Caenorhabditis elegans: one gene and its partner. The protein of the gene in region 1 interacts with the protein of each later gene in a pairwise test. Each region holds a gene or a part of one and is shown in the gene's direction. Other genes may lie near its edges. The genes, in order: R02F2.5 and scrm-8.

Region 1 (6,557 bases):
AAAGTTCAAATGTTTACGCGAGAATTTTTGAAAAATATTCGCTATCAATAACCTTCTAGACAATCTCGTTCTTCTCCTAATTATTCTATTTGATAATATTTATTAGAAAAAAGGAAAAGATCTTTGTATTCTGATCACGGGCACGTAGACTTGATAAGAGAAAAATTGAAACTTTAGAACAAGTATTAAAATCTCTGTGAGAGGTTGGTGTTCATGACCGTGTGACTGGTGTTACTTAAACTATGCTATGCTTTGGTGGTAATTTTTTTAAAGCCACGCTCTATAAGGATCCGGCACTAAATTTTCCGGTTCTTCCAGGTGCCTGCCTCCGACATGAACATGCTCTACTGGTCCGATGAGCTGGCCGCTTCAGCTCAACGCCACGCGGACACCTGTGATTTCCGTCACTCCCGTGGACGCATCAACGTCGGCGAAAACATCTGGGCGGCGCCGTACAGTAACTATTCTGACGCTATCTCGATCTGGTTCAACGAGGTAATTTCAAATATTTTTCTATTTTCCTTGCATCTTCCATAATTACCATCAATCTTTTGTAGGTCCATAATCCAAGATGTGGATGTAACCATGCCTATAAACACTGTTGCGGTCACTATGTTCAGGTTCTATTAATCCCTTTTTCTAAGTGTACAAATTAAATAAAATCAACTAATTTAGGTTGTCTGGGCAAAGACGAATCTCGTCGGATGCGGCTTCTCCCGTTGCCGTGACGTTCAGGGTGTCTGGGGACGTGGACATCGTAACGTATTCGTCTGTCACTACAATCCACAGGGAAATACGGTATTCGTCACTGCGAGAGGACAGCTTTATGCGGTTCGTACGTCCTTGTCTCCCTCACTTATGTTATTTTGAGTTTCTTGCTAACCGTTGCTTTCGCCTAATTTGAGTGCAGTGAATTTGGTTTCTTGTGGGCTGGTGTCTCCTTTGGCTTTGCTGAAGGTTGTTGATTGAAATTGTCAATTGGTGAAATGTACAAATTATCACATTTTGTCCGTTGACAATATTTTGATCCGACCACTCTCCGCTAAAAAGCAAGGGTTTAAAAAATAATTGTTAAAAATTGAAAAATTGTAACTTGGTCAAAGTAAGAGTTATTAAATGCATTATTGGCAAATGTAGCAGTTAACAACTTTTAAAATTCAATTTTGATGAAACTGCGGGAAGATCAAACAATTTCTAACTTAAACATTGTAGATCTCAAAATATTTTTAAAAAACATTTTAGTTGACAATGTTTTGATCTGACTGTTCTCTGCTGATATCCAGCAGTTCCGAGTTTGAAAATGTTAAATTTTTGTTCGAAATCTTCAAACGCCTTAACTTTGTAAAAGTAAGAGTTCTCAAAAATTGTCAACTGGTAAATGTTAGTCAAAAAATGTTTGAATAAATTGCCAATTGCCAATTATTTAATATTTACAAGCTCCGCAAGTCATCGTTTGAATAAGGACATCTTCAAGATGTTTTCCATTTCTAACCATTTCTAACCGTTTGAATGATACAGTTTCAAAATTAATAGTTTTCTATTTTCGTTAAATATTTTCAAGTTTTCGTATTTTTGCAGAAGGACCTAGAGTCCGCAGAAAACAGTATAACAGTATAAACTTTTTCTTGTAAAAAGATTTCCCCTTTTTTAAATTGTTTTGAAACTTATGATTTTCAAGGAGATATAGCTGTTCAAAAGTGACCCCCTTCAAATTTGCTAGATGATTTGAAACTCAATTTGAGCAATTTTCTTAGTTGACAACTTTTGGTATTGCTGATTTTCATTAAAAAATTGGAACTCAGTTCTTATTTTACCAAAAATTAAATATTAATTTTCACTGAACTCCTTATTCCAGATGCCAGCTTTCACCTGGGCTTCCGGTGACAATGGAAAATGCTCCAACTGCCCAGCAAATGCTCCAGCCTGCTACCAAGGGCTCTGCTACATGCCAAAGAACTACGAGGCTCCGACTACAACAACGGAATCCACCACAACATCTACAACAACTGAGGAACCAACGACAACTTGTGAGCCCGATGAACCAGAAGCTGAGGGAGCTGACAATAATCAAGAAGAAGAAGAAGAAAACAACGACGGGTTCCGAATGAGAGTTTAAGCTTCTTTCATGGTACCCTACCTTCTCCCACATTTAATACCGGATGAACTACTTGGATTGCTTACCGAACGGGTGTGCATACCGCTGCATTTATTTATTCATTTATATATATAGGTGTATGTGTATGTATTGGTGATATACCGAGATTTCTACGAATTGATGATATTCAATAAAAACTACAGTACAATTCTATCGTTTTTATCAACGTTTTTATCAGCGTTATTATCAACATTTTCAGGTCCATACACCATTTTGAGCCTACAAGCCTATCCGCCTATCTCACTCCCTCGTGCCTACCTGTGTTTGCCTTCGCGCCTTCCTTGTTAACCCCTATTTTCGTGAATGTTAGCTGTCTCAAATTGAACTTCATTCGTGCCTAAATAATAATAATAAAAATCTGGAAAAAAATAATTTAAAAAGTCGAAAAGTTTAACATTTACGTGTAAAACTTTCCAAAAATCAATTTCAAACTCAAAGAAATTCATTTCTGAAAGCCGTGAGAAAATGGGATGCTGCGGTTCAAAAAACAAGCAGAATAGTAGGAATTCAAATCGAAATGGACAACAAATGGTAGGTACTGTAGGATTACGCTCTGCAGAACCAAGTTTCGATTGGTTTACTGTAGTGGTACGGTAGCGGGTTTCATAGGTTTATTGCAAGATTACGGTAGCTCATCGTTGTAATTACAGTGTTACTGTAGTAATACTGTACTTGTACGCTTAAGCTTGCATCAGCTTTCGCTGCGAACTCTTTTGAAACCAAAGTACTACGTGTTGTTAGGGGTACGGTTGGCGCAGGTTTATTACCTGGTTACTGTAGAGTCACTATAGTTTTGCACACCTTTTACAATCTCGACAGCATTCATTTTTAGAGATTCCTCGTCTCAAAAACTATATTTTCAGAATCAAACCGGAACCCAATCAGGCCCCTATCCTGCCCAGAATCAACCTCAGAATAGGAATCAACCTCCACCTCCACCTCGACAGCAGCAGCAGCAACAAGCTCCACCTCCCAATGGACAGAAGCCTCCACAACCTCAACGTCAACAACCGTCTCCAGGTCTCCCGTACCAGCCACAACCGCCTCCTGCGTATGGGGCTCAACAGCCATACTATCCACCGCAACAGCAAGTCGTAGTGGCTGCTCCTCCGCCAGTGGTCATTGTGGATCCTTATCCATGTTATGGAGGTGGAATGTACTACGGTGATCCATTCTATTGTGATCCGTTTATGTTTTAATCGAGATGTCAAATGAAAAGTAAGAAGAAGATGAAGTGACTTGAAAATATTTCCGATAAGAAATAATTGATAATTGATCCTTTTTTTGCAATAAAAATAGTCTGAGATTGTTTTCTAAAAATTAGTTAATCGGTCCGAAACTGGCAAATTGATCCACCAAAATTTATCCACGGGAAGTGTCGACTGCTGGCATTAGAAAAAGGAAAGTGTCGGCCGCTTCCATTTCTGCGTGAACGCCTTGCAGTTATTTTTTTGGAAATGATTTATTTTTCAAATGTTCAAACTTGCCGCTAAAAAATTTTATTCCCAACTTACTTTATAATCAAAAGAACTCAAATATATCGATGAAAAATGGGATGCTGTCAATCGAAGAAAGCTAGAAATAATCAACGGAACAACCAACGCTCGGACCAAATGGTAAGTCTCCAAGTTTCATATGAGGTGACCGTGCCTGCCTATAATCCCTGTTCCGGGTTCCATAAAAAAAACTGAATAGACACAAGGCAGACGAAGGTCGCCTTGAAGTCAAGCTCAAGAACTCCTCCTTGTACCTCAACTTTTCAGAATCGTCAGCACACTCAACCATCTCCAAACGCCTCGACAGAGCAAATGGTAGGGAAAATCGATAATTTTCCGAAAATCAATAAAAGAAAATATCGATTTTTCAGGCATACCCTCGACAGCAGCCTCAAGGGATCCCACAGGGACCTCCACCGGCCTACGCACCTCCAGCAGCACCGAAAGCTCCTGAGAAAGTCGTGGAGCCCAAAAATAGGAGAGTAACGATTGCAGAACCACCGGAGAGAGTTGCGGAGCCATCACCAACGCCTGAAGATCCAGAGCTTTTTACTTGCATCGACCAAACGGAGAAAGAGGTTGAAAAGGAAGTGGAGAAGAGAAAGTCTGCTCCGCGAGCCCCAGTCCCGGCACCTACACCAGCTCCTCAGGCAGCTCCCCAGGCAACTCCGGCTGCACCTGCTCAAGCTTACCCTCAACAACAACAAGCTGCTCCCGTGGTCTATGGATCCCAACCAATGGTCATGGGTGCTGCTCCGGTGGCTCCAGTTGTCATGGCTCCGCCGCCAGTGATCATGAGCCCTTATCCATATTATGGAGGTGGTGTTATGTTCGACCCATATTATAATGGATTTTATGGAGGATATGGATACGGAGGTTTTGATTTCGGGTATGGAGGATATGGTGGTTATGGATGCGGATTCTATTGACTTTTTTGAACTCTTTTGTGTTTTTTTGGAATAAATTTTTTAATTGAACACTTAAAAATCAACAGAACAAGATGAACAATCAACAACATAAAAATGGATATTATAACAAAAAAAACAATTAATAAATTCGCTTCGAAGCCCTCGTGATCGTAGAAAGGAACTTCTTGTATCGGGTTCTCTCAACAACTGGAAGATTCGTGGCGAGCAACGCGGATGCATTTTTATCGGCCAGTGAATGTAGTTTTGACATGGCAAGTAGACTGTCTGATCCATAGAATACTGCGTCTCCAATGATTGATGCAGTCAGCTGAAGAATAAAAATTTAGACCGTTTTTGAGAATAATTGAAGGTTTTTTTAAAATTTCAATTTAGTCGTTTTTCTTGGTAACTTTTACCAAAACATACTCAACAAGCTCCCCCTAATTTCGAAAATTAATAAGTTGACAGAATTTTTAAAAAAAATCGAGTTCGAGAAGAAATAGTGATTATTACAGATTATTTAAAATTAAAATGTCTATTTTCTTCTTTAAAAAAAAGGGAAATTTCTCAAGAAATACTAGTTCTCATTTTTATCAATTTGACAATCCTGAAAAAAAAGATAAAACGTTTTAAAATGGGTTTTCAAAAAAGAACTTTAATTTTAAATGTTTTTTAAAACTCTTCTCCAACTTCTACAATTTTTCTTCTTTTTTTTCAATATTTAAAAACTAGAAAAAAATTTATGTAATTTGTTATGGGGTTATTCAAGTAGTGTCGGAAAATTAAAAAGTGTAGAAAAATTACGTCACAACCTTATTCAAGTAGATAAAAACATGTATTTAAATACATTTGTGACGTCACAAATGTATTTAAATGCATTTTGCTACATTACTTGAATAACCCCATTAGACAAACGACTCAAAAAATAGTGTTCACGATTTTTTTAATATTAAAATTCGTATAAATTTTTTTAATTATCGACAAATGGACGATGTTCAAAAAACAATTTTTCAAATTAAAATACTTTTTTAAAAATTTTTTTCAAAAATAGTTTAACCATCGAAAAACTCCCAGTTTTTGATTTTTTATTTATTTCGAGTTTTCAAGAATATTAAATTTTTTCTAAAATGTTCAAAATCTTACCATTGCAAAATACGATTCATTCCTCTTCATTGCATCTACTAATCTTGCCAAATCCTGACTCAATTTATGACGGCGGAGCACAAATTCAGTTTCCATTTCAGGCGAAAGTGTACGCGACGCGACCGCGTTCAGACTATTCCTCACGAATTTTTGAGAATTCTTCAAAACTTGGCTAAAAAGTTGACAGAAAAGTGCAGTGAATGATTTTAGCACTGAATTCTTCGCCGATTTCATTGCTATATCAAGCAGATCAATCGTCTCCACAAGTACTGTAAACCATGATTCATCAGATTTCTCGGTTCCCGGAGCCCGATCCATTTCAGTCCAACCGTCGGCAGCAATTCGTGAAAACACTACTTGAACAGCTAATGATTCCAGTTGACTTCCACCATACATTTCAATTATCAACTTGAAAAGCTTCATCTCGTCAATGCTCTCGGCTCCAGGAATCTCTTCGACGAATTTTACAACAGAATCTGCAAAAAACTTGGGTAAAAGAAATTATTTTTTTTAATAGTTGTAATTAAAAATGATTACCAAAGACTTCCTTTTTCGTCTCCGCTGTATGAACTCCTTGGAGCAAGCTTAAGGCTTCTGCCACTGCAAATTCCGGCTCTCGGAGCTTCTCAGCGACATCCGCGGCGGTTCTATTCACAAATTTGACTGGAGCAGCTTCCTGAGCCACTTTCTTGAAAACCTTCAAAATATTCTCATTTTCAGATCCCTTTCCTGCTTTTATCAGCTTTTCCAGAACGTCCTTCGGTAGAGTTTTCAGGATTTTCTCGCAAAAGTTCCAGTTATCGAAGATTAGTGAAATATTGATTGAAAGAAGGGCAAAAGCAGCCGAGAAATTGT
Region 2 (7,168 bases), on another chromosome or scaffold:
GGGAATATACGTTAGCTATTTCAGAAAAATAGCACAATTCGAGCAGGCTATGGAAACCTCGATGCTGCTATCTACAACATGAAACTTGAGTACTCATATTCTGACAATACGCCAATCAAACTCCAAATTAGACAATACGCTGCGATGTAAGATAATGTTAGTGCTAGTTCATCAGAAAAATAACTTTTTTCAGCGATATTGACTACTGGCCACCATATGCTGACTAAATGCCAAGTTTTGCAATTCATTTGAATAAACATTTGAACATTCCAATAGCTTACACATTTCAACAGATAACACTTCAAAAGTTTTTTAGTCTGGGAGATTGATAAAAATTTGTTTCAAAGTAATTTTGCAGAAATTAAAATTCTGCCACACTATCCTGTATGGAAGAATTTACATGTCGATGTGCATTCTTCTAGTTGATAACTTTGAGACTCAGCGAACGCTTGACAAGTTATCACTGCTTGTTCAAGTACTGATTTCGAGCTCCAAATTTATTGTGCTGGTTGCCAGGAGCCACTGGTTTCAGGTTTCATGCTGCAAAGTCATCTTCAGTGTTTCACTGAAGATCCACAAAACGAATATATAGTTTGGCTGCTTAACCATTGAAAATCTATTAGTTTTTGTTCAGTACCGAAAATTCAGATCGGTGAATTCGAGAAAGTTTTGGAAGAGCTGCGGGATGTTTTTGTTCATAGTTTCTAGAAAATTTGGAGCCACGGGGTAAATAAATAAATTTTTAAATAAATTAGATAAGTTCAAACGTGAATATGAACTTTCTGCCCTTTCTGCCCTATCCCTTTTCCCCACGTATTCAATTTTCGAAACAACAAATAAAATCAATACTCCCTTCGATTGAAATTCATTCATTTTCGACTAGTGAACAACGATCTGATATGTGAGTTTTCTTATATCTGTCAGTGTTCCCCAAAAAACCCGCAAAATTTTTTCAGAAAATGAACAAACAACCGGGACAGCAACCATTGAGATCGCTTAGCTTGACGTCTGCGGCCAAGTCACCTGAGGAGGTTGAGCCGGAGCAGGATTCGAAGAAAGGAGAGCCACGTGCCAAGGCTGCAGGATTCGGAGGAGGTGGAGGTGGTGGAAAGAGACTCCCAGAGGCAAGATCTACGCCAATGGTCATTCCGAACCAGGTAGCAGCGATGCCGGTTCAGATGACTGTAAGTCATTCTAGCTAATAGTGATCGTTTTAACTTTTGACTTTTCAGGGCTTCGTCCAACTTGTCGCCAACAACATTCTCAGCGCCATTGCCCATACCAACTCTGTGATGGTTGTCCAATGCATCAAACCCCTCGAGATCTTCACCGGATTCGAAACTCCGAATCGCTACGTGGTCCATGACATGTACTGCCGCCCGCTGCTTTATTGTATGGAAAGATCGAACATCTTCGCTCGTCAGTACGAAGGAAACGATCGTAACTTCGGAATGCAGATCATGGATACCCACGGAGCTCAGGTGATGACGTGCTTCAGAGGAAGACCATGCTGCTCGACCGATGATTTTCTGAGCACCCAGTTCCTCGATCAGCAGATTGGGATGATGAAGAAGGAGTGCTGCAATCCTAATGTGAGTGCTAGTATCAAGTAAAACTACAGTAATCCAGAGCCCTGAAGCATTCTTTGGAAAAATCACATTTTTCTCAAAAGAGATCTTTTCGCTGATCTGAGTTTGCATCAATCTTGATCGAGCTTAGAGCCAGGGCTGTGCGGCAAATTTTGAAACTTGCAGTGCTCGGCAAACGGCAAATTTGCCGCACACCCCTGATGCCCTATCTATAGTCCGATCTATAATATATCTGTAACTTGGCACATAGCAACCTAGAGTCTTTCCGCTTTGCTCTGCCGCCCAGCCGCAAGACATTGATACACAAAAGAGAGCAAAGCGGAAGGACTGTAGGTTGCAATGTGCCAAGTTTGTACTGACATAGATATAGACTATAGGTTACTAGACTGTCCAAATGTCTTTCAGTATTAAGATGTTTATCTAGAAAGCCTATTACTTGGTACATAGACGTACAGGTTTCACGCCTTTGCTCTGCCGCCCAGCGGCTAGGCATTGACACACTAAAAGAGAGAAACACAGAGCAAGGCGGAAGGACCGTACGTCACCAATGTACCAAGTTACAGATATAAATTGCACTATACAATTGCACTATACGTAGATCTATAGATCTATATCTATATACCGCTGAACGGCAACATCGGGACTAGCATGACACCTTGTACAAGGGCAAACTCGGCAAATTTGCCGAGCTCAACTAACTCCGAAAAATTTGATGTTTTTTGAAGCACCAAAACTACTGAATTTTTAACGCGGCAAATTCGCCAAATTCGCCAAACTTGCCGCACACCCCTGATCAGAGCAATCGTTCCTATAGGCTGAAGCTTTATTAGCTCTTCACCTGAATCTCCCATCCTCCTTGAGACACATCCTATTAACCTTTTCTTTCAGTTCGAGCTCGTCGGATCCGGCTGCAACCAGCCCCTGCTCATCCAATCTCCAGGTTGTGCAGGCTGTGGTGGCACCCAGAAGTTCCCAGTGATGACCTTCAATGGTGTGCTCGTCGGAGAAATTGTCCGCCTCTACCCGGGATTCATGCAGGAGATGTTCACCGATGCGGACACCTATATTGTTCATTGTAAGCATTTTATTCTAAGCTTCTGATCTTTTCTATCTTAATTTTGGAATATTTCAGTCCCAATGGACATGCCGCCAATCTTGAAGCTTCTGCTTGTCACCTCGGTTTTCCTGATCGACTTCACCTACTTCGAGGATCGTAACCAGGATCAACATCGTAACGGCGGAATGCATAGCGGAATGCATAGCAGCTTCTAAACTTATAAAGGATCCTGTTCACAAATTCACTTGCAAACTAGAATAAACTAGTTTTTTCTGGCTTCTTCTTACTATACCTACTAGCTGATAATTTCTCAGCAAAAGATTGCGTTTTCTGGGCACAAATGACTTGTTAAAATTGCGATAACTAATACACGTGCAGCAGACAACAATTCCGCAGATAATTTCCTATTTTTTTCCAACAGAAATTTAAATCTGACGTGAAGTTCCACATAGTACAATCAGATCAGATTTTCAAAATTAATTTATTTCCGACTTGTGACCAACACTTTTCTATGTGAGTTTTCTTATTTCTCTTGGTTTTCCCTCAAAACCCGCATAATTTTTTCAGAAAATGAATATTCAACCGGGACAGCTACCATTGAAAGCAATTAGCTTAACGTCCGCGGTGAAGTCACCTGAGGAGGTTGAGCAGGATTCAAAGAAGGATGAGCCACGTGCCGAGGGAGCGGGGTTCGGTAGAAGAAACAATGCTGGAACGAAGCTGCCAGCGGCGAGATCGACGCCAATGAAAATTCCGAATCAGGTGGCAGCGATGCCGGTTCAGATGACTGTAAGTCATTCTAGCTAATGGTGACCGCTCTAAATTCTGACTTTTCAGGGCTTCGTTCAGCTTGCCAGCAACAACATCCTCAGCGCAATCGCCCATACCAACTCTCTGATGGTTGTCCAATGCATCGAACCGCTCGAGATCTTCACCGGATTCGAGACTCCAAATCGCTATGTGGTCCACGACATGTACTGTCGTCCGCTGCTTTATTGTATGGAAAGATCAAACGTCTTTGCTCGTCAGTACCACGGAAACAATCGTAACTTCGGAATGCAGATCATGGATACGCACGGAGCCCAGGTGATGACTTGCTTTCGAGGAAGACCATGCTGCTCATGCGATGATTTCCTGAGCACCCAGTTCCTCGATCAGCAGATTGGGATGATGAAGAGGGAGTGCTGTAATCCTAACGTGAGTTTTGGACGATAACCACCGCCAGTAATAACTACAGTACTACATTAAACTACAGTACCCTAACATTTATAGAGGCATGAGAATATAGGAAACATTTTAACAATACATTGTGAACAGTCCTAAAGTGGTGTCAGGCTGTCTCATACCGGTACGATCTACAAAAAATGCGGGTGTTTTCCGCCCAGAAAAGTGTGCCAAAACTGTGCGTCTCAATATTGTAGATCATATGGGACATCATGATACCCCGATAAAACCACAATGCCACGTCCTATGCCGATCATTTTGTGAAAGTAGGGTTGTTAGTCGATGATCTAGGGATCTAAATTGTTCCGAGCTATCACAAGGGAATTCTTATACCTAACACCTTTCATTTGCTAGTCCTAGATTCTTTTAGTTCGAGCTCATCGGATCCGGCTGCAACCAGCCCCTGCTCATCCAATCTCCAGTTTGTGCTGGCTGTGGTGGTACTCAGAAATTTCCAGTTATGACCTACAATGGCGCACTCGTCGGAGAAATCGTCCGCCTCTACCCGGGATTCATGCAGGAGATGTTCACCGATGCGGACACCTATATTGTTCATTGTAAGTTCTTAAGATCCGAATTCTATCTGAATTCCGATATATTTCAGTTCCAATGGACATGCCGCCAATCTTGAAGCTTCTGCTCGTCACCTCGGTTTTCTTGATCGACTTCACCTACTTTGAGGATCGTAACCAGGATCGTCATCATCATGGTGGGATGCATGGCGGAATGCATAGCAGCTTTTGAATTTTTTATGAGCCCATTTCACTTGCAAACTAGAATAAACTAGTTTTTTCTCCACAGTTTTATAGCTAGCTTTTCTGTAATTACAAGCTCACTTTTTTCAGAAGATAATTCTGTTTTTTGGGCACAAGTGCTTAGATTTTTCCCGTACATCCCAAGAAGTAGTTGATTTTTATTTAAAAAAAAAGCTTTGTAATCTGGATGAAAATTCAAATTTTCAACGTGACCCCTTTTCCACCCCTCACGTAACATCTTCTCCCAACATAATCTCCCATTCCTACTATTGTTCATCGTCATCGAATGTGAGTTTTCTATCGCTTCTTTCTGGGACCCCAAAACCTTCCAACTTTTCCAGAAACCAATAAAAATGAATAAACAACCCGGAGAGCAGCCAGTCAGCTGTGCGACTTCAACTGAGAAATCCGAAAAGGAGCCACCGAAGAGCCGAGCGGAAGCTGGAATGATGCGTGGCGGCGGGAGACTTCCACAGCCACGGGATACTCCGATGGAGGTGCCGAATATGGTCGCAGCAATGCCGGTTCAGATGACGGTGAGTAACCTTACGACGCGTTGCGTGTCGCGTTGCGTGTCGCGTTGCGTGTCGCGTTGCGTGTCGTGTCGCGTTGCGTGTCGCGTTGCGTGTCGAGTTGCGTGTCGCGTTGCGTGTCGCGTCGAGTCGAGTGTCGCGTCGAGTGTCGCGTCGAGTGTCGCGTCGAGTGTCGCGTCGAGTGTCGCGTCGAGTGTCGCGTCGCGTGTCGCGTTGCGTGTCGCGTCGAGTGTCGCGTCGCGTGTCGCGTTGCATGTCGCGTTGCGTGTCGCGTTGCGTGTCGCGTCGCGTGTCGCGTTGCGTGTCGCGTTGCGTGTCGCGTTGCGTGTCGCGTTGCGTGTCGCGATGCGTGTCGCGTTGCGTGTCGCGTTGCGTGTCGCGTTGCGTGTCGCGTTGCGTGTCGCGTTGCGTGTCGCGTTGCGTGTCGCGTTGCGTGTCGCGTTGCGTGTCGCGTTGCGTGTCGCGTTGCGTGTCGCGTTGCGTGTCGCGTTGCGTGTCGCGGTGCGTCTCGCGTTGCGTGTCGCGTTGTGTGTCGCGTTGCGTGTCGCGTTGCGTATCGCGTTGCGTATCGCGTTGCGTGTCGCGTTGCGTGTCGCGTCGCGGTTCTTTGATGTGGAGTACAGGTTTTTCCCCACCTGCAGTCCGTGGCGATTGTCGATGGAGCGCAAAAATCGCTGCGAGGAAGAAGCCCGTGTACTATCATTGCATATTGTTTGTTTGTTTTTTAGTGACGTCATACCCAAAAACTGGGACATATGACGTCACCACTTGTAGTCGGGGCCTGTCGAGTGACGTCATCGTTAATCTTTTTTGAAAACCGATCAGATGAATGGCTATTGTGAAAACTTTTGGCGGAAAATTGAAAATTTCTGCAAATTTTTTTTGGCGGGTAATTCAAATTTTTGAGAAAAATATTTTGGGGGAAAATCACATCTTCTGGAGCATTTTTTGGCGGGAAATTTGAAACATTTGAGAAAATTTTTTGGCGGGAAATTTAAAATCCTCAATCTAAACCAACATTATTCCAGGGATTCGTGGACCTCGCCCCTCACACCATACTCGACGTCCTGGCTCAAACCACCTCCCTTATGATTGTCCAATGCCTTGAACCACTCGAGATCTTCACCGGAATCGAGACCCCCAATCGCTACGTGGTCCACGATATGTACTGCCGTCCGCTGCTCTATTGTATGGAAAGATCCAGTTTCTTTGCTCGCCAACATCAAGGATCCCACCGCAACTTTGCTATGCAGTGCATGGATATTTTCGGGGCTCCTGTGATGAATTGCTTCAGAAGTCGACCGTGTTGCTCGTGTGATGACTTTCACACCAGAGGTTTCGATTGCAATGAAGAAATGGACGAGAAGTACGACGTGCACTTTGGAGACAGCCGTTGGTGAGTGTTTAGAGATTGGGGTGGAGTACGCGTTACCACGCGATCAGGGAGCCACCGTCTCAGCACGGGTACATAAAGCTAACCATCATGAGGCCATTATCAATAATTTATTGTTCCAAAATGTAATTATTACCCAAAAGCATGAGGATAACGATCACCTGCGTCGTTTTCTCCTCGATACTCGTGGACTTCCGCCAGTAGTTGAAGCATCAGCTCTGAGAGCCTATGCAGCGATCATTGGAGGACCAAAGGTTACCGATGCGGAAATCGATAACGATCGTACGATCATCACGTTCGGAGACTTGACTCTTTCGGAAGAGCAGTCACAGTTCATTCGAACTGTTAAGCGTCTTAAGTTCGATTGTCTTGCTCTCGACTGTGCATTTGGTACAGGAAAGACCACAACCGCAATTCTCGGAGGATTGCACTACGCCAAGGAACATCCGAATCGGAAGATGATCTTCACGGGAGTCACAAATGCCTGTTCTTCCGCAGCAGTGGAGACGCTACAACGTTTGGATCCAAACGAAGAAATTCGAGCCGTACGAATGATTTCCTCGGACACTATCAACGCGATGGACGGTTCGGGAGGAACTGATATCGATTATCCTAAA

What was found.
Region 2: the proteins of R02F2.5 (region 1) and scrm-8 interact in a two-hybrid assay, tested with the Caenorhabditis elegans proteins (2 studies listed by BioGRID).

Annotation. Positions count from the first base shown.
Region 1 is NC_003281.10:5,475,699-5,482,255, forward strand, and holds R02F2.5 (Prion-like-(Q/N-rich)-domain-bearing protein), read left to right. Parts: upstream 1-3,619; 5' UTR 3,620-3,705; coding exon 3,706-3,771; intron 3,772-3,918; coding exon 3,919-3,966; intron 3,967-4,022; coding exon 4,023-4,580; 3' UTR 4,581-4,630; downstream 4,631-6,557. Other genes in the region: Protein lon-1, read left to right, coding at 319-495, 558-620, 676-831, 1,856-2,116; R02F2.10 (Prion-like-(Q/N-rich)-domain-bearing protein), read left to right, coding at 2,621-2,686, 3,019-3,354; R02F2.6 (uncharacterized protein), read right to left, coding at 2,984-3,226; R02F2.7 (Myb-binding protein 1A-like protein), read right to left, coding at 4,699-4,887, 5,703-6,178, 6,240-6,557.
Region 2 is NC_003282.8:4,161,563-4,168,730, forward strand, and holds scrm-8 (Phospholipid scramblase), read left to right. Parts: upstream 1-3,129; 5' UTR 3,130-3,159; intron 3,160-3,213; 5' UTR 3,214-3,216; coding exon 3,217-3,435; intron 3,436-3,483; coding exon 3,484-3,843; intron 3,844-4,240; coding exon 4,241-4,427; intron 4,428-4,474; coding exon 4,475-4,614; 3' UTR 4,615-4,668; downstream 4,669-7,168. Other genes in the region: scrm-5 (Phospholipid scramblase), read left to right, coding at 960-1,184, 1,233-1,592, 2,478-2,664, 2,722-2,861.